3 linked regions of the Tamandua tetradactyla genome follow. The protein of the gene in region 1 purifies or fractionates together with the protein of each later gene. This does not show direct contact. Links are inferred from orthologs where the notes say so. Each region holds a gene or a part of one and is shown in the gene's direction. Other genes may lie near its edges. The genes, in order: TLE1, HES1 and FOXG1.

Region 1 (7,427 bases):
TGAGGGAGCCTCAGTAAGATTAAGTGCTGATTTCTCATTGGAAACCATGGAGGCAAGAAGGCAGTGGGATGGCATATTTAGAGTACTAACAACAAAAAATTGCCACCTAAGAATTCTATATCTGGCGAAAGTGTCTTTTTAAAATGCAGGAGAGATTAAGACATTCCCTGTAAACAAAAGCTGAGGGAGTTGTCAGCACTAGACCAGAATTACAAGAGATGCTCAAGAGAGCTCTGGAGGTTGAAAGGAAAGGACAATAGACAATAGGTCACAGCTGCTGAAGCGATAAAGCTCACCAGGGAGGGTAACAACCGGGTAAAGATAAATGCCAGTGCTCTTGTATTTTTGGTTGGTAATTCCACTTTTTACTTGCTAAAGGATTTAAAAGGCAAAGGTAAAAATGTAATGAGATATCAGTGGTTTTGGACTCATAATATATAAACATGTAATTTGTGAGAAGAATTACATAAAGGTGGGGGACGGTATATACTATGGCATCGAAGCAAATGAGATTGTTATAGATTTAGGATGTTAAATTTTGTGGTGAGTACAAAAAAAAATCAGAGAATATGTAAACAGAGAGACAGAAATTAGAGTGCAAGTGGCCAGGGGTGGAGGATAGAGGGATTGGAGATTTAAAGTATAACGGGTATAGGGATTCTGTTTTGGGAGACAGGAAAGTTTTAACACAGGAAGGTGGTGAAGGTACCACAATACTGCAAACGTGATTAATCTCATTGAATGATATGTATGGGAGGGGTTGGGATGGGAAATTTTATGTTGCATATATGTCTCCACAATTAAAAAAAAAAAAAAAGACAGATCAACTAAAGACACAATGACAAATGCAATACACGATCCTGGATGGAATCAAACAAGCAAAGAGAAAAAACTCATAGGATATTTTCAGGACATATGAAAAAATTACAATATAGAGTCTAAGCTTTAAATCAGTGTTAATTTCTTGAACATGATAACTGCACTCAAGGTGGTTATGTAAGTGAATATCCTTGTTTTAAGGAAATGTACATGGCAGTATTAAGTGGTAAGGGAACATGATGTATACAAACCTATACTCAAGAGTTCATAAAATGGATTGGACAGAAAGATGCAGAGAGGGGACAGAGGAGGGAAAAACAATGACGTGGCAAATGTGACAAAATGTTCAAATTGGTGGACCTGAGTTCTCTGTATGAGGTTTATATTATTTTTGTAACTGTCCTGTACGTTTGAAAGTATTTCAAATAAGTTTTAAAAAAAAATTGCCGGCAATCTTTCTGTTTCTTTTGCAGAGGATAAACAGGGTACTGCTTTTACTTCAGGGACAATTTCCTATGGAAGCAGCACACTTAATATTATTTCTTGTAAAAACATCATCAACATACGATTATGTTGAAGGTAAAGAAGATTATGGTTAACGTACTTCAAATAGATGACTAAAATTATAGATTTCATGAGTAGGACTGTTTTCTTTTAAACAGGCTGTAGGCAATCTGCACATATATGATTTATTTAAAACAGAAGATTAAGGCTACTTGATTGTTTAAACACCATCATTTATAATGCAGTTTGATGAGAGTTTTGTAGTATAATTATTACAGCATGGCAATCAGGGAGAAAATATGACCTTGAAAAGGGCAGAGCTTTCTCCCTCTCTCAAGGAGGATGCTCTGTATGAGACAGAAGCCATCGAAATGAAAAAATATTCATGCAATTAAAGGCTTTCCAATTTTAAATTCAGTATATTCATTCTTTTCTCCACATACTACATTATAAGGAAATCAGAAGGTAGTAAGGAAGCACTGGTCAAAAGAGAAATCCTCAATTTTTACCAAGGCCAAACTGGGAAAGGTGGCAACCACATACGTGTTCTGTGAAGAGCTGTATGACAGAATATTTAAAGTCAGTGTGTTAAAACTGATTTTGAACGGGGTGGGTGGGAAGAGAAGTAGCAACACTTTTGCTACTGCCCCAAAACATGTCATTTTAATGTCTCTGCTTATACTTAATTGCTAGTGTTTACCAGTAAGTTAAGATACCCATCAGGCAAAGCTGGGTAAGTAAGCCAGGGAGATGTCTCAGACTGCTATAGCTGTCCCAGAGTCCACAGGCATTTCTGTGGCACAAAAGAACTTTCTACCCAGTCCTCAGATTATGAGATGAAGTCATCACAGACTGGCCCATGTGGCCCAGCCAGAAAATAGATGAAGATTTCAAAGAACACAGGTTGCCCAAGGACAAAGCTTAGTTCCACATGGATCATATAATTTTAAAAAGTCCTGTATGTGGAGCAAACCTGCCGCTGTCATCACCAAATTAACCACGGAAAGAGAGGCAGTGCTTCTCTTTCATTCTCCAGGTTAGCAAAAGAATAATATAGTCTCCTTCCCAAATTTAATGAGAGCACTGCAAAGTATACTGCCAAATTTAAGAATTTACTACTGCCTTGCATATTGAATAAAACTACTCTATTTTTCACTTGTAATTGATAATTGGGATTGATGCAATTATAGAGAAATCAATGTCATACATATTTTAAAACAATTGCAACTGTGAACTGTATTACTTAAAATGATTCTTTCAATATTTCAGGAAGAAGTTTTCTGTAAAAGCAAATCTTTGAATGAAATACATTTATGTATGTGCTTTCCCATATGTCTCTTAAAAGTAAAATAACATGGGGCTGGCCACGGTAGCTCAGCAGGCAGAGTTGTTGCCTCCCACACCGGAGACCCGGGTTCGATTCCCGATGCCTGCCCATACAAAAAATCAAAGTAAAATAATGGGGATGTAGAAGTTATTGATACCAAAAATATGTTTACTAGGTTCCAATGTTAAGAGAAATGCTTGTCATGTAGGTCCCAATACACACAGTTTCCACGGGTCACATGGAAATAGCTTAACCGTACTGTTCAAAGTATACATTTTCTATGTGATCTATTTAGAGAGACAAAAACTGGGGACTCTTTATTTTACTTACACATTGAGTCCCGTTTATTTAAAAATCTCAAAAATCCCTTTTAACTCAAGTTTCGCTGCGTAAGAATTTTAGCCTCGTCCTTTACCCACGTCTTCCCCTCTGGCTCCGAACACAGATCAGCCCTGGGGTACCATCCAAATTATGGGGGTGGGGATGGAGGTGGGTGGGACAGGTTTTTCAGGTCTCAATGCTGGTTTATTTCATTGTCTCCCTTTGTTCCCAGGAATTGGAAACAGACTCGTGGTCATGTGGCTGCGAGACTCCTAAAACTACGATTTTTTTTCCCCCTCATCACAGCAAAGCCAGGACTTTGAAGACAAGGACCCGAGATTTCGCGCCCCGGGCAGAGTATCGCATCTGCGCTTTGGTACACTCCTGCCTTACCTAGGCATACCTTTGAGAATCCCTCCCGCCAAACGAAGGCAGGCCGACCCTTTGGCAAAGCGATTTGATACCCGCCAATAAAAAACGAATCCTACCACCTTGGGCAAAACGTGGTGGGCACCATGGTGATGTCTTAAGGGCTGGCCTACGCACGCAATGCGTTGACCATTAGGCAGTTTCCACCAGGGCACAGTCCATTCCTTCTCATGCGTTGCTGAAAAGGTAGTCTAGGAAAAAAACAAACCTCAGAGAAATTTTTGAATATGACCTCACATTCCAAAAGGGTAGCATCAAACAAGAGGCTAGCACCGAAAGACGCATTTTAACTCAAAACTACCAAAGCAGCACCCCAATAAGCAACGCGACTAGTTCTTGAGTTACTTTCGTCAAGATCTGAGGATTTTCATAAAAGAAAAAGTGAACAAGTGGCAGCATTTTTGCAAACTGAACAAGTGGCAGCATTTTTGCAAACTCGAACCCCAGTTCGGCGGCAGCAAGCTCGCGAGTCCCCCAGCCCCCCCCCCCCCACCCCGCTCGCGCGCTAAGGCGCGCTCCCTAGGCAGCCCCACGTTACTTTGATTGACAGCTGAGCCCCGCTGCTCTCCTTCCCACCGACCTTCCCATCCTCCGTGCCAATCTCTGAGTCTCGCCGCTTTTCATTGGCTGGCTTCGGCGTCCGAGGCTCCTCCAGGAACACTTCCTCACCAAGCCTGAGAGGACGCGGCTGGGTGGAGGAGGGGTGGTGGCAGGGGAGACAAGGGAGACGGCGGAGATGGAAGCAAGTGGGATGGGAGGGATGAAGGAAGGGACAGCCTGGCTGGCCTTGCGCTGCCATAGGCTCTGGGGGAGCCGCGCGTCAGTACCCCACGTTGGGCACGGCGCGCGCGATTGGCTGACGCGGGCCTTTCTGCTGCCCGAGCCCCGCCCGAGCCCACGTCCCCCGTCGGCTCTGCGCTCGCGACCCCGCCCGTACGGGGCTGGGCGGGGCCGGCTCTGGTTAGCTCCGGAGTGTGAAACCGCGTGTTAATGTAACCGGCGCGAGAGGCGCGGGCGGCGGCGGCGGGACCGGCGGCTGCAGGAACAGCAGTGGCGGATACCCCGTGCCTCGCGCCCCCCAGGCGACCGACTGCGCCACCTCCACCCCCTAAGAAGCCAGGCGAGATCTCCGCCACCAGCCGGGACCTCCGCCACCAGCCCGGACCTCCGCCGACCGGTGGTGACCAAAGCTCCACTGGCCACCGGTGCCGCGACTACTCCGGACTCGCCCGCGGAGTTTTTCCGCCGGGGAGGAGGCTGGGCGGTGGAGTGCATGCCTGCTATTCTCCCCATTCTCTCGTGGATGTCGTCCCTGGGGTCGTGAGAGAACTTTGCAGCGGGCTGGAGCGCCCTTTGCGGAGAGGCAAACGAAGGGAAGGGGAGGACCGAGGAAAGGGCTTCGAAGAAGGGTCCGGAGTGGCTAGTCCGGCCCTTCGGGGCGATCTCGCGCGGGGCGCAGTGCCCTGATGCTTCGTGGGCCCGAGGAGCCGTGGGTGGTTGCGGGGCTGCACTCCACGGAATAGCCCCGTCGGGCCAGGAGGGTTTGTGCAACCGCGGAGGACACCGAGTGCTGGTTGCACGGGGCGTGCCGAGCTGCCTCCCGGCGCGCCCTCCGCACTTTCTCCGCCTCGGCGTCATCCCGTGTTTCCCAGCCCGGGCTGAGGCTGCGCATCGCCGGGCGCGGAGCCTCCGCGGCGATCCGATCCTAGCTGTCCGCGGTCCCCTGGGAGCCCGCGAACGCCCGGCCAAAGGCCCTATAGTTGCCGGGTTTGTGTGGGGTTAACCGGAGGCGCCGCTCCACCTGCACCTCCTCACCCGCCGCCGCCGCTGCGGGGAAAATCCGGAGAGAGGCGGACTGGAGAAAAGCAAAGAAAAGCAGCCCGCCTGGATTTGTTAGCTCGGGACCGGCGCTGCGCACGCTGATCGCCGAGGGGAGCGCGGCGGGAGTCAGTACGCCCTCACCTCCCCGCCCCGGCGGCCGAGGCCCGCCGGTTGGAGCGCAGCCCCCGCGCCCTCTCCCAGGGCGCTGGCGTCGTCGCGCAATTTCTTGGAACAGCTGAGCCCTGGGCGCCCCACGATGTGGCCCTGAGCGCGGGAGCCCGCAGCGGCGGGAGTAGGAGTAACCGCGGGCGCGGAGCGGCGGTGCGCCCCTCTGAGCGCGCCTGCGTGCGTGGTCATCGCCCCCCACCCTTCCGCCCCCTGCGCGCCCCGCTTCTGCTTGGCTTCCTGGCTTAATTTTCCTCGGTGGGATTAAAGTTGGAAATTGAGCGAAGAATTGAGTTGCCCAGGAACAGAGCCGCGGCCTCCGCCAGAGCTATGTTCCCGCAGAGCCGGCACCCGGTGAGGAGCGGCCCAGTGTGTGTGTGTGTGGGGGGGGTCAGGGTGCTGTTTCCCGAGCAGTAGGGAGACGGGCGGCTGCCAGGTCTCCTCACCCCCAGGGGTGCAAAACTGGGGAGGTCCAGAGCCCTGGTTCCCCGGGGTGCAGAGTGGCCTGAAACTCCGGATCCCCCCCCCCTTTTCTTTCGGCCCCCTCCTATTTGACGTCTAGACTGGGTGGAAGGGGGCGCCGGGGGAGGCTAGGGTTTCTGTCCTGGCAGGCACATTCTCCCCAGTCCCCGAGCCCGGGGGGGGCGCCCCCCCTTTTGTTTCTTGTCTCGCTTATTTGCATGTCAATGCGGCCCCCGTTCCGGCGCTCCTGGAGGTGGCCCCGGCGACTCTGGGAACTGAGAACGTAAAGGGAGTTGTTTTTCTTCTCCGGCCCCGGGAGTCATTATCGCCCCTGAGGGGGAGGGGGAAGGCGACGACAACAATCTGGTCTGGTCCTACCCGGTCTTCTGGGAGCTGCCCCTCCCTCCGGCCGGGTGATGTGGGCACACTTAATTACGACCCGCCCTGGAAGCGGTTCCTAGCCTCTTTAGAAGCTGGGGACTGGGGGAGTGTCCTTCTCTCCCCTTCCCAGAGTGAAACGGAGAGGCGAGTTCGGGGCTTCAGTATCCGCCTCTTCTAACTTTATTTTTTGTTTATGTCCCACCCACTTCTCCCTTTTCTGACTTACTGCTTTATGTGTACATCCACCCGCACCCCCAATTCTCGGTGCCCCTCGCTTGTCGCCCCCAGACGCCGCACCAGGCTGCAGGCCAGCCCTTCAAGTTCACTATCCCGGAGTCCCTGGACAGGATCAAGGAAGAATTCCAGTTCCTACAGGCGCAGTATCACAGGTGCGTGTCGGCGGTGGCGGGAGAGTGGTTGTCAGGGCATTGGTCTCTGGTGGCCGCATGCCCCTCTGCCCAGCCGGATGGCGGCGGCTGTACTTAGTACTTGCGTCCAGGCGGTGGCGTGTGGAGTTGCAGTTAAGACCTGTCATTTCAAGTTCCCCTCTTTCTTGGCTCTTCCCGGGCCTCCTCTTCTTCTCTTGTCTCCTCCTCCTCCCATTGTTTCCCTTTTACCCTTTTGCTGCTGTTCCAAAGAATCCTTTTTCGTGTATTTGGGAGTTGCATAAGAACCGTCAATATTTGCACTTAACTTATTTATTTTGCAACAGGCTAGGCCTGAAACATTGATTCAGTCGATGCCTCAGCCCTGGAGTGTGGGTTCCTGGAGGCAAAACCAGTGTTGAAATCACTGTTTGCCATACTTGGGAATTAGGTTGTCTGAGGCAAAGTCCATAGTGGAAGGCTGGCATTTGGCTCTACCCATCATTAGTGTAGTGTGTAGGAGAAAGCACACCTGCTTTGATATCATTCTGGGTAGTTTAGGATAAAGCATGTAATTGGAGTCAATTTTATATACATCTCAGCCTTAGTTTCTTCATCTAAGGACACCTACCTCCCAATTCAAAGGATTTATAAATGAAAATTATTTGCATGGTTCCTGGCCCATTGTAGATTTTCCAGAAATGTTGCTCCTGTTGAAATTAGATGAGGCTAAGTGGTTTGGGCATCAATTTTCTTATTTTTCTGGGGTTTTCTTGTTTTTGACCTATTGTCTACTTGCAGGTGGTATCTCTAGAGCTTGAAGCATACCTGCA
Region 2 (7,165 bases), on another chromosome or scaffold:
AAAGGAGTTGCTGATTAACTATTTGATTAAAGGCTGCTTTAGGCACTGCAGTGAGACCCTAACTGGACTATTTCAATAAACATTCTCCACACACCTTCAGGGTGCCCAGTCCTGAGGGGATGACAGAGCCAGAGACATTAAGTCTCCTAGACTAGGGGGGTCGGAGTAACATGCCCAGATAGTAATTAAGGCCCACTGAGGAGCAGATGCTAGTCAGTGTCACAGCAGAGTTTAGGAAGACACTTGCTCTGACATATTTGAGGGGAACCTGGAAAGTGTTAACATGCTTCTCTGGGAGGGGTTTAGTGCCTTGGAATAATCTGGGTCAGTGTAATTATGTAGTTTTTTAAAAAGTCAGACAGCAAGTACAAGCATTTTAAGAATTTTCCAAGTGTTTTGGGGGCAAGGCAGAAATGAAGGTAACTTCATAGGCTCTTCATCTTTCACCAAGATTTCAAACACACAGGGAAACCCCCCCTTTTTTTTCAAAAGCAACAGACAATTTTCTGTCATCACCTCTTTTCCATCTGTTTAAAATAAGAACTACCTATTGGCCCTGCTTGCAAGTCAACAGAGGAGGCATTGTTCAACATTTCTTCCGAACAAGATAGGGCATAGCCCATTTTGTACTGTTAAGAGAAAACGAAAAATCCCGCAGAGAGCAGCCCAAGGGGCAAGAATGAGTAAATGAAGCCTGCAATGAGGTAAAGGTTTGGCGGCAGACTTCAGGGCTCTCCTGGCAGTAAAAATGAGACTTGGAAGGTAAATATAGTCAGAGCCACAATGACTCCTTATTTAGACTCCAGATGGTGGTGGAACAGGTAACATTGCTTTAAAGGGTAGGCAGGTTTTTGCTGATCACTGGACAGTGCATAGTCAATACTCAGGTGAGCCAGTTCCAGGCAGGTGCTTCCTGGGTCAGTCTACACCTGCCACTTAGGAATCTACTTAACTGGAAGGAACCTCCTCCCCAAACTCTGTCACCAAACCCTCCATTCCACCCTCCATACTTCTGCCAGGGCCATCTTCCTAGATGAGATCCTTGACATCCCTTCTCTGCTCGAAAACATTCTACAGCTCTCCACTATCTAAAGATAAAGCCCAAAGTCTTTTATCAACACATTTAAGGGTCTTATGACATGGCCTTCTCCAGGTGTTTCTTGTAGTCCTGCCTGTCACAGACCCTGGGCTCCAGATCTAGTTCCCTGAATAAGGACCTCAAGTTCCAGAGTCTGGGCCTTTAATGCCACAAGGTACTTTCACACTTCCTCAGCGCCATGACTCCTCCCTACATTTCCAACACCCCAATTCTACCTATTTTTCAAAGTACAAAGCGAGGCCACCTCCTCCAGGAAGTTTCCCAAGATACCCAACTTATAAACAGTTTAATTTCTCTGAACCTCCATAGCATTTTACCTCTTGTTTGGATACATTAACTTTCTCTTGAACCTAGGACCTACTAGAGGAACATATTGGGAAATCAAGAGCTGTCAGCTGCACAGAGTATATGTACCTCTAGGCTGCGGGCTTCCTGAGGTCAATAACTCTCCCATCCACCCCTGTAACCCATAGGGGAGAACTGCAATAGTGTGGTTTAGTGTTTCTTTGGGGCCCTCCTAGTCTTTCCTTTAAGCTCCAAAGGAAAGGAGTAATAGACAATCAGAACCACCAATCAGAAAATCAGGAACTTTCAGTCGGCCTCCGCAGTTGACTGTAAACTCCTTGCAGGCTGCCTCTGTATCTCATCGTGGTAATCCCAGGGTTTAACAGTGTCTGGCACAGAACGTGCGCTCCACGATGAAAGAAAGGTCACGCAGTCAGGAACTGATGAATCTTATCCGGGACGTGATCTGGTGAAATCATAACATTCTCAGTGGGGAGCTCGGAGGAAAGAAGGAATGAAGTGTGTTAAGAATGTGTGCCAGGCTACCGGCGGCCTTCTCCGAGGGCCGCCGGGACGGAGGAAGGGGTGGGGGGAAGCCCAGGGCGACTTCAAACAGGACACTCGGCACCCGGGGTGCTCTGAACCGCCAGAACAGCGCGTCGAGCTCAAGGGTGGGGGCGCGGGGACCGGCGACCGGGGCAGACTGGCGGGCGGGTGGTGGCGGCCAGCCGGCCCAGGCAGTGCGAGCCGCCGGCTAGAAGCGGCAAATCCCCCTGGGAGGCCGCCGCCAGCGCCCTGGCGCTCCCGACCCGGCGCCCGCCACGTGGCACCCGGCGGCGGCGGCTCCTCCCGGCGCACGGCCCGGCCAGCCGGCAGCACGCAGCCGCCCGCGCCGCCCGCCTCCTCCCGGCCGCCCGCCGGCGGCCTCCGGGCGCAGCGAGGGGGAGTCACCGGCCGCCCTGGACCGGGAGAAGGGGCGGGCGGCGCGAAGCCGCTTTAACCGCAGCCGCCGAGCGGAGGCAGGAGGCTGACCCGGCTGCTTCCTAAGTGCGGTCAGGCATCTTGTGACCGCGGCGGGCGCCGAGAGTCCCGCGGAGGAGTGGGGGTGGGGGCCCAGGGCAAGAAGCAAACAAGGAAGCCCCCCACCCCCATCCCCGGGCTGCTGCAAGCGAGGATGCCCGGCGTGTTCAAACCCCCAAGCCCGAAATCGGGGGTGGAGGATGGGGGAGGTTTTGGAACAAATCCCTGCTCTCCTCTCTGGGGCGTGCGCTCCCCGCCCGGAAGGGCTGACCTTGGCCGGGGAGGGTTCAGGGGAAAGCGCCGGGACTGGGCTCCCAGCCCGCCGCCCCCTCGGATTCCTGGATCGGCGGGGGCCGGAGGAGGGGGCCCCCGGACACACACGCACACGCACACACACACACACACACACACACACACACACACCCCACAGGCAGCGCGCGCCAATGAGCCCGGGCCGGGCGCGGGGGGCGGGGTTTTCCCAGGCTCCAGCACAGCAGCTGCTATTTACCTTCTTGGCTTCTCCCGGGGACCAGGAACCAGCCCCCGCGCTCCGCTGCCCGCCGCCACCCCCCCCCCCCCCCGCCTCCCTGCCCCCGGGGCGCGCGCGCATACACACTCACACACGCACGCACACACACATCCTCCCGGTCCGGCCGCAGCCGCGGCGGCAATAAAACATCCTGGCACGTGCTCCAGCTCCAGGCGCGCCCTCGCCGGCCGGCTGATGTCAAACTGCATCTCGGCTGGTGCAGCTCTTAAAGGGGCCGCGCGCACCGGCGCCTAGACGACCCCGGCTGCCCGCCGCCTTGAGAAGGAAGGAAGAGGCTTCTGGGACGCCCGCCACCTCGACGTGCTGCAGAACGGAGAGCCTACAGGAGGAAAAAGTGGCGAGGGTGCTTCCATGTCCTAAAGGCATTGCCAGCAAAGTCCCCCTTGTTCGTCTTTTATTTGAAATTCCATTTCCCTTCCTTTTTGGAAAATTTTCAGATTGTTTCCTGGGGAAGCGCGGGTTCCAAGGCCCCAACTCCAGAAGAGGAATGGGGAAAGAAGGGGGATGGCATTCAAGAACTACTTTGCTCCGATAAGCTTGCAAATGTAAAAATGCAAGGTGGAAGGTATTTTTTCTTTTTTTTGCATGCAAATGCCAGCTTCACGCTGGCTCGACTTTCACCCACCCACCCTTCCCTAAAGAGGTATAGATTATGACCGGGAAATTCCTTAGATATTTCAGAAACTAACACCTTTGCACGCGTCCTTCCCCCCCCCCCCGCCCCGCTTTTCTTTTCACTGCTGCTAATACAATCTTTTATTTTTACCCTTCTAAACCTGTTAATATATATATATATATATATATTTCTCAAGCTTTTTATCAGTTAAAGAGATTCTAATAGGCATTAGGAAAGAGAATATAGAGCAAAGATCCTAGCCCCAAAAGTAATAAACTACGTTAGACCAAAACCAGGGCAGAAAATTCCTCTCTACAGCAAAGCTTGGCTGGGAGAGTAACGAAGGGTTAAAATGCTTTTGATTGACGTTGTAGCCTCTGGTGCCCCGGGCTCAGGCGCGCGCCATTGGCCACCAGACCTTGCGCCTGGCGGCCAATGGGGGGGCGCGGTCCACGAGCGGTGCCGCGTGTCTCCTCCTCCCATTGGCTGAAAGTTACTGTGGGAAAGAAAGTTTGGGAAGTTTCACACGAGCCGTTCGCGTGCAGTCCCAGATATATATAGAGGCCGCCAGGGCCGAGGGATCACACTGGATCCGGAGCTGGTGCTGATAACAGCGGAATCCCCAGTCTACCTCTCTCCTTGGTCCTGGAATAACGCTACCGAAAACCAAGTAGCCATAAAATATTACAATAAACTCTCAGAACTTGCTCAGTAATTTTGTGTAAGTCTCAAATAAAAGGGACATAAACAAAAAAATTTTTTGAGTGTGAAGGACTCCAAAAATATAATTCTCTAGGGATTAAAAAAAAAGAAAGGAAAATGCCAGCTGACATAATGGAGAAAAATTCCTCGTCCCCGGTGGCTGCCACCCCAGCCAGTGTCAACACGACACCGGATAAACCAAAGACAGCATCTGAGCACAGAAAGGTAAGGGCGGTGCTTGTGTGTCTCTATAGCGCCCAAGAAATTAAGTTGGGGTTGGGGGCGCCTTTCTCGCTTAAAATTCAGGGGTGAAATGGCAGATCTTCTGGGAATTCAGGGCCCTTACTGATTTTTTTTATTTCTGCAGTCATCAAAGCCTATCATGGAGAAAAGACGAAGAGCAAGAATAAATGAAAGTCTGAGCCAGCTGAAGACACTGATTTTGGATGCTCTTAAGAAAGATGTAAGTGGGGGATACTGCTTTTATTCATTTAATAAAACATTTCATAATAAATACGATTTCTCTGCAGCTAGGGGTGAAACCCCTCGCAGACTGGATACTGCCAGTCAGCGCCGCGTTCTCCGAGGCGGGAGGGTCGGGCCTCTCGCGGGGATACCGGGATATTGGCGTGGCGGCTGGAGGGAGGGTCTCCAACCCTTGGAGACGGATGGCAGGGTCTCACTTTCTGCTTTGCCTTCTCGCTGCAGAGCTCGCGGCATTCCAAGCTGGAGAAGGCGGACATTCTGGAAATGACAGTGAAGCACCTCCGGAACCTGCAGCGGGCGCAGATGACGGGTAAGGGCTGCTCGCTGCGTCCCCCTCTGCGGGCGTCCCTCTCGCCCTGCGGTGATTTCTTCCAGACTTCCGCTCGCGGTTGTGAGAGGCATTCAGCTACATTTTACTGCCTTGGCTCACGCTCGCGTTCCCACGGTCTGGGGTTTATTTATAGCCACAACTCCAAGTTGTTACTGTTCCGGAAAGGGAGGGAAAGAGGTTGTAGCAGCGAGGGTGGCGAGCGGCTTGGATGTGGGGGAAGCGGGTGGGGGCGGAGGACGGTAGAAAGAGGGAGGATTTAGGACCGTGGCGGGTTTGAGCTTCTTTAGAGCCTCAGCGGTCATCTGGTTTAGCACTTCCCCTCCTCCAGTTTACTGAAGGGTAAAATAAAGCTCGAATGGTGGAGGTGGGCATTGTCCAAGGTCACAACGCGCGCGGGGTGGGGGTGGGGAGCTCAGTTCTGGGGCTCGGATCGGTTTAAGTGGAGCGTCGGGGAGTGGAGGGGAGGGAGAGTCTCCACTTCGATTGCCTCGCGCCTGTGTGGAGAGGTCGCTGGTTTTGCTAAATCCACCCCAGCTGGAGGCAGTTCCGTGGTCCTGTGGTCAGGGAGGCGCGCCGCGGGGACCTCCCCGGGTGGGAGATGTTGGCCCCGGGACCAGGGCCGTTTGGTGACCCCGTCTGTCTCCTTCTGGCCCGCAGCCGCGCTGAGCACCGACCCGAGCGTGCTGGGGAAGTACCGCGCCGGCTTCAGCGAGTGCATGAACGAGGTGACCCGCTTCCTGTCCACGTGCGAGGGCGTTAACACCGAGGTGCGCACCCGGCTGCTCGGCCACCTGGCCAACTGCATGACCCAGATCAATGCCATGACCTACTCTGGGCAGCCGCACCCCGCCTTGCAGGCGCCGCCGCCGCCCCCTCCAGGGCCGGGGGGGGCCCCGCACGCGCCGTTCGCGCCGCCGCCGCCGCTCGTCCCCATCCCCGGGGGCGCGGCGCCCCCTCCCGGCGGCGCGCCCTGCAAGCTGGGCAGCTCGGCTAGCGAGGCGGCCAAGGTGTTTGGCGGCTTCCAGGTGGTGCCGGCTCCTGACGGCCAGTTTGCCTTTCTCATCCCCAACGGGGCCTTCGCCCACAGCGGCCCGGTCATCCCTGTCTACACCAGCAACAGCGGGACATCCGTGGGCCCCAACGCTGTGTCGCCTTCCAGCGGCCCCTCGCTCACGGCGGACTCCATGTGGAGGCCGTGGCGGAACTGAGGGGCTTAAGCCACCTCTCCGCTAAACTCCCCACCAACCTCTCTTCCCTCTGGACTCGAAACCCGAACTTGGACTCTGGGAGAGAAGAGCTCTTTTGTCATTAAGTGGTTACTTTGTTGATTTTAATTTCTAAAAAGTTACTTTTTTTGTAGAGAGCTGTATTAAGTGACTGACCATGCACTATATTTGTATATATTTTATATGTTCATATTGGATTGCGCCTTTGTATTATAAAAGTTCAAATGACATTTCGTTTTTTACACGAGATTTCTTTTTTATGTGATGCCAAAGATGTTTGAAAATGCTTTTAAAGTGTCTTCCTTTTGGGAAGTTTATTTGAGAAAATATAATAAAAAAGTGAAGGCTTTTATGTCTTAGAACTGATTATTTCAGAATATGTAAAAAGAGGTTCTTGGTGGGATTTGAATTTTATGATTTTTTTTCATGTAATCGGTTCTTTTGTTATGAAAAGAGCCATATTTTTAAAAATCCATCCAACCTCTTAGCAACCAGGTGCTCCAGGAGCTGAGAGAGGCAATTCAATTTAATTTACAAGAACCATTCTGAGAGGGCTTCCCTGGACAATTTGTGGTCAGTCTCAGCCAGGATTCAAACCTAAGTTTGGCTAAGTCATTCACCTTGTTCTCATAGCAGCTCATTCTGAGGAAATGTGGACCAGAACTGAGTCCAGGAAGCTAATGGATGTAATCCAGTTGTCCTCTACCGCAATAGTAAGGGTGACTCCTGCAATAATATTACAATTCTGGGGTAGCTCACCAACATCCAAAGGTGAAACACAACCGCTGCAGCTTGCTGCCTTCAGAGGTCAGGGTCTTCATTAATTAATTAATCCTTAGGTGCAGCCAGA
Region 3 (7,403 bases), on another chromosome or scaffold:
AATAATCTAATCCATTTCCCAATCAGTTCTTCCGCTGGAATTGCTCACTTTTTACAAGGCCTGTCCTCTTTTGGGAGGAGAGAAGAAGAAAAGTTTACATCATACCAGAAAATTACATTTGCTCTGACTTCTGCTTTTATTCACTAACAGCACATTTATAGATGTGTGTGTGTGAGAGAGAGAGACAGAGATGAAACTGATCATAAGCAATACATAAATAAATAATATAGAATTTGTTTCAGATGTGAGATAACTAGATATCTTCTAAAGGTAATCACAGACTGAGTATGGCTAGAAATACAGAGTTAGGGATTCATGTGCTTTGGGAAGAGGCCCTATGTGGTTGTGGGCAGGGCTTCAAATCCAATTTGCACCCCAAATTGGCTGGTAGGATGTACAAAGCCCTGTCCAAGGACTTTCAACTCACACAATACTCAGTCCCAGAACCCCTCCCCCCTCTATTTCAGCAAGTAGCATTTCTAAAAAGAAGCCATTGGGGAGACAAACGTGGGCCGCTGAGTAAACAGTGCATCTTTTGTTGAACAACCCTACCCACTATATATATATCGCCCTATCTCACCATAAAGGGCATTTAAATTAATAGGAGGTATTCAAACCCACTTCCCTGAACATGGCAATTGACCTTTGTCATCAGGGAGAATAGATTTCTAATATGATTATATTAAACTATATACCATTTGCTCTTACACAGATACCCTGTTTTGAGTGTCCTGTATCCTTGCAATCCTTAAAATAATATAGCACATTCTTGGTTTGCATGAAAATGTTTCACAGTCAATATAAGTTCCTGGCACATAAAAGCAGATTATTACAACTCTCATTAGCAAACCCCAGTTTTTGCTGTTTGAAAGTAAACAGAAGAAAAACTTATTTTCACCTGCTAAAATTTTTTATACTGGCTTACAAAACAATGCCCTCTCAGCTTTGACCTAAGAAACACCTTAAAACATTAAAAATTCATCAGGCAGAGCTGGCGTTGTATTCAAGGAATGCTGCTCCAGTTTGCTGCAGAGCTCGGATTTGAATAAAATGTCCAATGTTAACAAACAATACCCACGTTTGGCACTTTGTGTATTAAATTGATCAAACAGATTTTAGGAGGCACAATGCACAATTTGTACAGACCTGATTGAGTTAATATAATATCAGCAAATTTTACATCGAAATGATGCTGTTTCTTTTCTTTGTGTTTAAAACCAGCACAGATTACAAATTTTAATGATCTGAAAATGTTTGGTATACAAAATCATGCTTATTTCAGTATTAGCAAAAACACAAGAAATTTTTCAACACAAACACCCAGCTGTGTCTATTTTAAAAGCAGTTCAATGACAGCTTGCACTTATGAGCATGCAATCAGCTAATTTCGCTTTTTTTTCTTCTGTGTTAATCAACACTTTCCTTCCTGCATATCAGAGTACAAATAGTATAGTTACTCCACATCAGTAAATGTTTACGTAACCTGTCCTTTCCCAAGAATCCGGTTACACCGAATCATTTCACGCTAGACCGACTACGAAAACGTACCGGGCCGTCCACCTCAGAGGGAGCCCTGCGTGCCATTATAAGTGATGGTGAGAAGGGGGGTGGGGGGGGGAGAAATGGGGAGGAGTAGGTGGGAGAGGGAGAGTGATGGAGGGAGGGGAAAGGGTGGAGGGAGGGAGGGGAAAGAAGGGAGGAAGAGGGGAGGAGGGAGGAAAGAGAGTTTAGGAAAAGTAGAAAGAACAGGCCTGAGGAGGGGAGAAGTGTGGGAGGAGTGGAGCTGAGCTGGAAGAGGAAGAGCCACAGATCTCTCCAGACCGGGTGGCCAAGCCCACTAGCTCCCCGGGCTCGGTGAGAAATCCCGAGTTTAAGAGTCAATGTTTGGGGGGCCATGTCACTATCTAAGCTGATTGCAGGAACCCTTGAATTTTTCCATATGTAAATAGTGCGTTTTAAAGTAAGGAAATGTGTGGACAGAAAAAAAAAAGCATACAGTGGAAGGTTGTTTAAATCTGGTCTAATATCCAAAGCTCTTTGTGGCGTCCCTGAAATACATATTAAAAAGTCACTAGCCAATTGTAATTCTTTTCTCTCTCTCTCTCAAGATTTCAGGTGTATGGAAGTGGGGTGGGGTGGGGGGCACTGGAATAATGATCTGCAGTCCTTATATTAGAATTGAACTTTAATTTTCAACATCGCACGCAACACCCATCTTTCTTCCTCCGTTTTCTTAACTACCAAGCCAGCCAGATAATTTAACGGAGGGTTTATCAGAGTGAAGAAACGCTTGTGTTTTATGATTATTTACCTTGGGGAGGAGGGAAAAGGTGTTTTTCTTTTATCCACCTCCCTCACCTCCCAGGCTACATCCTCTGTAAAACGTGGTGTGTTTCCTGCCCATGTGGGATGAAACAGTCTTTGATCGGTGCACTCCCCACCAAATTCCAATCCCTGGGAAATGCTGGGCCTTAGCCCTGCCCCTGGCCACGGGATCCATTTAAAGCCCCCCGATTCGCAATTTCCCCACTCATTTCAGCCTTCAACCAACCCTTCCCAGCCCCAAAGGCCAAGATTGTGAGACCCACGTTCCCATGGCTCCAAGGAGCCTTCCAGCAGCATCCAGGGTGGGAAGGGGCTGGTTTCAGGATGCTGTTGCTTCAGGATTGAGGCCCGCGAAAAATAAAGGCATTTGAGAAACGGAAAGAAAAAAGGGGGCTGAACATAAGAAAATTTAAAAAAGAAAGAAAGAAAGAAAGAAAGAGACGCCTACCCTTATTTTCCGTCTAATGTCAACGAGCAAAATGAAAACATTTCCAGGGTAATGGCTCGCGGCCACCTCGCTTCCAATACGAATTAGAAGCTGAAGAGAAGCTGGAGCGGCGAGAAGAAAAGACACCGAGTCACCCCGCGCGTGAACGACGATGTGGAGCAGGAGAGAAAGGAAAGGAATAGAGGCACATATATAACATGTGTTACCTGGTTTATTTCGAGATTGTTTGGTTTTGTTTTCTCTCTGGGAACCTCTCATTTCGGGAGACCATCAGAGACGCCCACCACTGAGCCGCCCCCGCCCGCCGTCGCCGCCGCTGCCGCCGCGCCGGGAGCCACAGGCCTGGCTTTCCCGAGGCGCCCGAGCCCCGAGTTGGCCGCTGCCGGGCCGCAGGAACCGAGTAAGTAACCCTTGCTTGGCCCCGCACTCGCCTGCCCGCTTCCTCCTCCTCATCCCACGGTTCCCAAACCTCTCCTAGACTCTCCTCCCCCAAGGTAGAGGACCCCCCCCCCACGCCAGGGGTGGGCCTTCCCTTCCCAACCATCAAAAGCCTCGTTCGAATGTTACCTACAAGGGCACAATTTCCCTACGGGCTCAAACATGCCAGACCCGGGCCAGCAGAGCCGACTCCAGAGAGTTTCTCATCGCTTCTTCCTCCATTTCCTGCCCTTTTCTTGCATCCTTCCCCGGAGCTCCCACTCTCTGCCTTCCCCCCACCCCCGCTTTTAAAAATAAAACTGGACGCGAACTTTAATCAATAAGGAAACAGTATTGACGCTTATAACGAAAATGACCCAGTGCAATGACAAGGAAGCCGGAAACGTGAGCTCTTTGCCCTAAGAGGGGGATTTCGGTTGAGCAGAGCCAGCGGGGTGGAGGGGGTGGAGGGGGCACAGAAAAGGGCCGCGCCGTGGAGCCGCGGCGCAGCGTGCTCCCGCCGGCGTATCCCTGCGCAGTTCGGCGCGGCCGCGGGGCTCGAGGCCCGCGGAGAGGGGGAGGCGAGCGCCCGAGGGGGCGGGAGCCGGCGGGCGGGGCGGAGGTGGGGGGAGGGCCCAGGCACGCCGATTGGCCGACCGCAGGAGAGACGCTCCCGCACGCCGCCGGTTCTGATTGGCCCAGTGATAGGAAAGGTTAAACCAAAAATTTTTTTACAGCCCTAGTGTGCGCCTGTAGCTCGGAAAATTAATTGTGGCTATAGCCGCCTCGATCGCTGTCTTCCCCAGCCTTGTCGCGGCCGCTCCGGGACGCGCCCGCCCGCCGCCCGGCTCTCCCCCCCTTTGGGCTGCTGCTGCTGCTGCTGTGACTGCTGCTGCGAGAGGAGGAGGAGGAGGAAGCAGCAGGGGGGGGGGGGAACCGGGGGGTGGGGGGGAGACCATGAAGTAGAGTTGGGAGCGAGGGAGCTTCACCCCCGGGGCGGTGGTTGTTTCTTTTTTTCTCTTTCTTTCTCTTTTTCTTTCCCCCCTTTTTTTTTTCTAATTCCTGAGGGGTGGTTGCTGCTTTTGCTACATGACTTGCCAGCGCCCGAGCCTGCGGTCCAACTGCGCTGCTGCCGGAGCGCTCAGTGCCGCCGCCGCCGCCCGCGCAGCCCGCGCCGCCCGAGCCCCGCTCGGCACCCACCGGTCGCCGCCGCCCGCCGCGCCGCTGCCCCGCTCCGGCTCCAGTGCCGCCGCCGCCGCCGCCGCCGTTTCCCCCCGACGACTGGGTGATGCTGGACATGGGAGATAGGAAAGAGGTGAAAATGATTCCCAAGTCCTCGTTCAGCATCAACAGCCTGGTGCCCGAGGCAGTCCAGAACGACAACCACCACGCGAGTCACGGCCACCACAACAGCCACCACCCCCCGCACCACCACCACCACCACCACCACCATCACCACCACCCGCCGCCGCCCGCCCCGCAACCGCCGCCGCCGCCGCAGCAGCAGCCCCCACCGCCGCCGCCGCCGCCCCCGGCGCCGCAGCCCCCCCAGGCGCGGGGCGCCCCGACCGCCGCCGCCGACGACGACAAGGGCCCCCAGCAGCTGCTGCTCCCGCCGCCGCCGCCGCCGCCCGCCGCCGCCCTGGACGGGGCCAAAGCGGACGGACTGGGCGGCAAGGGCGAGCCGGGCGGCGGGCCCGGGGAGCTGGCGCCCGTCGGGCCGGACGAGAAGGAGAAGGGCGCCGCGGCCGGGGGGGAGGAGAAGAAGGGGGCGGGCGAGGGCGGCAAGGACGGGGAGGGGGGCAAGGAGGGCGAGAAGAAGAACGGCAAGTACGAGAAGCCGCCGTTCAGCTACAACGCGCTCATCATGATGGCCATCCGGCAGAGCCCCGAGAAGCGGCTCACGCTCAACGGCATCTACGAGTTCATCATGAAGAACTTCCCCTACTACCGCGAGAACAAGCAGGGCTGGCAGAACTCCATCCGCCACAACCTGTCCCTCAACAAGTGCTTCGTGAAGGTGCCGCGCCACTACGACGACCCGGGCAAGGGCAACTACTGGATGCTGGACCCGTCGAGCGACGACGTGTTCATCGGCGGCACGACGGGCAAGCTGCGGCGCCGCTCCACCACCTCGCGGGCCAAGCTGGCCTTCAAGCGCGGGGCGCGCCTCACCTCCACCGGCCTCACCTTCATGGACCGCGCCGGCTCCCTCTACTGGCCCATGTCGCCTTTCCTGTCCCTGCACCACCCCCGCGCCAGCAGCACTTTGAGTTACAACGGCACCACGTCGGCCTACCCCAGCCACCCCATGCCCTACAGCTCCGTGTTGACTCAGAACTCGCTGGGCAACAACCACTCCTTCTCCACGACCAACGGCCTGAGCGTGGACCGGTTGGTCAACGGGGAGATCCCGTACGCCACGCACCACCTCACGGCCGCCGCGCTCGCCGCCTCGGTGCCCTGCGGCCTGTCGGTGCCCTGCTCCGGGACCTACTCCCTCAACCCCTGCTCGGTCAATCTGCTCGCGGGCCAGACCAGTTACTTTTTCCCCCACGTCCCGCACCCGTCAATGACTTCGCAGAGCAGCACGTCCATGAGCGCCCGGGCGGCGTCGTCCTCCACGTCGCCGCAGGCCCCCTCGACCCTGCCCTGTGAGTCTTTAAGACCCTCTTTGCCAAGTTTCACGACGGGACTGTCGGGAGGACTGTCTGATTATTTCACACATCAAAATCAGGGTTCTTCTTCCAACCCTTTAATACATTAACATCCCTGGGACCAGACTGTAAGTGAACGTTTTACACACATTTGCATTGTAAATGATAATTAAAAAATAAGTCCAGGTATTTTTTATTAAGCGCCCCCCCCGCCCCCATTTCTGTACGTTTGTTCAGTCTTTAGGGTTGTTTATTACTCTAACAAGGTGTGGAGTGTCAGCGAGGTGCAATGTGAGGAGAATACATTGTAGAATATAAGGTTCGGAAGTCAAAATTATAGTAGAACGTGTATCTAAATAGTGACTGCTTTGCCATTTCATTCAAACCTGAGGAGTCTATCTCTGAGAGCCGCCAGATTTCCATGTGTGCAGTATTATAAGTTATCATGGATCTAGATGGTGGACCAGACCTTGAGAACAACCTAAATTATGGGGAGAGTTTTACAATGTTAAACTGTAATTTGTATTTAAGAAGCATTCATAGTAAAGGTGCCCAAGAGATTATTTTGGCCATTTATTGTTTTGTCCTTTTCTTTAAAGAGCTGTTTTTTTCTTTTGTTTACTTTTAGACCAAAGATTGGGTTCTAGAAAATGCACTTGGTATTCTAAGTATTAACAAACAAACAAACAAACAAACAAAAATCAACAGCAACAAAGGAAAGTTGTTTCAGTTGGCAGCACTGCCCATTCAAATGAATTGGAAGGGGACAAAATTAATGATTGCCTTCAGTTTGTGTTGTGTATATTTTGATGTATGTGGTCACTAACAGGTCACTTTTATTTTTTCTAAATGTAGTGAAATGTTAATACCTATTGTACTTATAGGTAAACCTTGCAAATATGTAACCTGTGTTGCGCAGATGCCGCATAAATTTGAGTGATTGTTAATGTTGTCTTAAAATTTCTTGATTGTGATACTGTGGTCATATGCCCGTGTTTGTCACTTACAAAAATGTTTACTATGAACACACAGAAATAAAAAATAGGCTAAATTCATATATATCTTGATACTTTTGTCTCTTTTGTTAAATAGAGCTAATTTTTAAAAGCCCATTAAAGTTATAGGGAATTCAAAGGCTCTTTCAGCCAACCTAATATTGAAACTGCTCCTTTGGTTCAAACTGAGATTTTTAAGTGGAAGGAGTATTTTTTTTTTCCCACTGTGGAATCAAACTTTATAAGGAGCAGACTATTTGATAAATGCTAGCTTGAAAAATAGTATAGGCTTTTCAGCTGGTATCTTTTAAGTTTCTGTAGATATACAGCAAAAAGATATAATTTAATTTTATGTGCTTAGCGATTTACCTTGTGTTCAATTTTCAAATCAGTTCATAGAATGCTTACTTTTTATATATTTTGTTTCAGGTATCTTGTATAGCACTTGGCAAATTATAAATAAATATATATGTATATGGTTAGATAGAAGTGAATATAATGCACACATATGTAATATATATAGGCACAGAGAGCCCTTCAGTTCAGGTACAATTTGCGCTA

What was found.
Region 2: the proteins of TLE1 (region 1) and HES1 purify together in Homo sapiens (affinity purification with western blotting; 4 studies listed by BioGRID and IntAct, with this or other methods). This does not show direct contact. The link is inferred for Tamandua tetradactyla from reciprocal best matches to the Homo sapiens genes TLE1 and HES1.
Region 3: the proteins of TLE1 (region 1) and FOXG1 purify together in Homo sapiens (affinity purification with western blotting; 3 studies listed by BioGRID and IntAct, with this or other methods). This does not show direct contact. The link is inferred for Tamandua tetradactyla from reciprocal best matches to the Homo sapiens genes TLE1 and FOXG1.

The regions. Positions count from the first base shown.
Region 1 is NC_135328.1:112,657,842-112,665,268, reverse strand, and holds the start of TLE1 (transducin-like enhancer protein 1), read left to right. Parts: upstream 1-4,382; 5' UTR 4,383-5,716; coding exon 5,717-5,740; intron 5,741-6,517; coding exon 6,518-6,618; intron 6,619-7,427. UniProt on the Homo sapiens protein: Transcriptional corepressor that binds to a number of transcription factors. Inhibits NF-kappa-B-regulated gene expression. Inhibits the transcriptional activation mediated by FOXA2, and by CTNNB1 and TCF family members in Wnt signaling.
Region 2 is NC_135336.1:13,984,005-13,991,169, forward strand, and holds HES1 (transcription factor HES-1), read left to right. Parts: upstream 1-4,123; 5' UTR 4,124-4,389; coding exon 4,390-4,497; intron 4,498-4,639; coding exon 4,640-4,735; intron 4,736-4,980; coding exon 4,981-5,068; intron 5,069-5,746; coding exon 5,747-6,297; 3' UTR 6,298-6,746; downstream 6,747-7,165. UniProt on the Homo sapiens protein: Transcriptional repressor of genes that require a bHLH protein for their transcription. May act as a negative regulator of myogenesis by inhibiting the functions of MYOD1 and ASH1.
Region 3 is NC_135340.1:25,907,895-25,915,297, reverse strand, and holds FOXG1 (forkhead box protein G1), read left to right. Parts: upstream 1-4,427; 5' UTR 4,428-4,478; coding exon 4,479-5,957; 3' UTR 5,958-6,902; downstream 6,903-7,403. UniProt on the Homo sapiens protein: Transcription repression factor which plays an important role in the establishment of the regional subdivision of the developing brain and in the development of the telencephalon.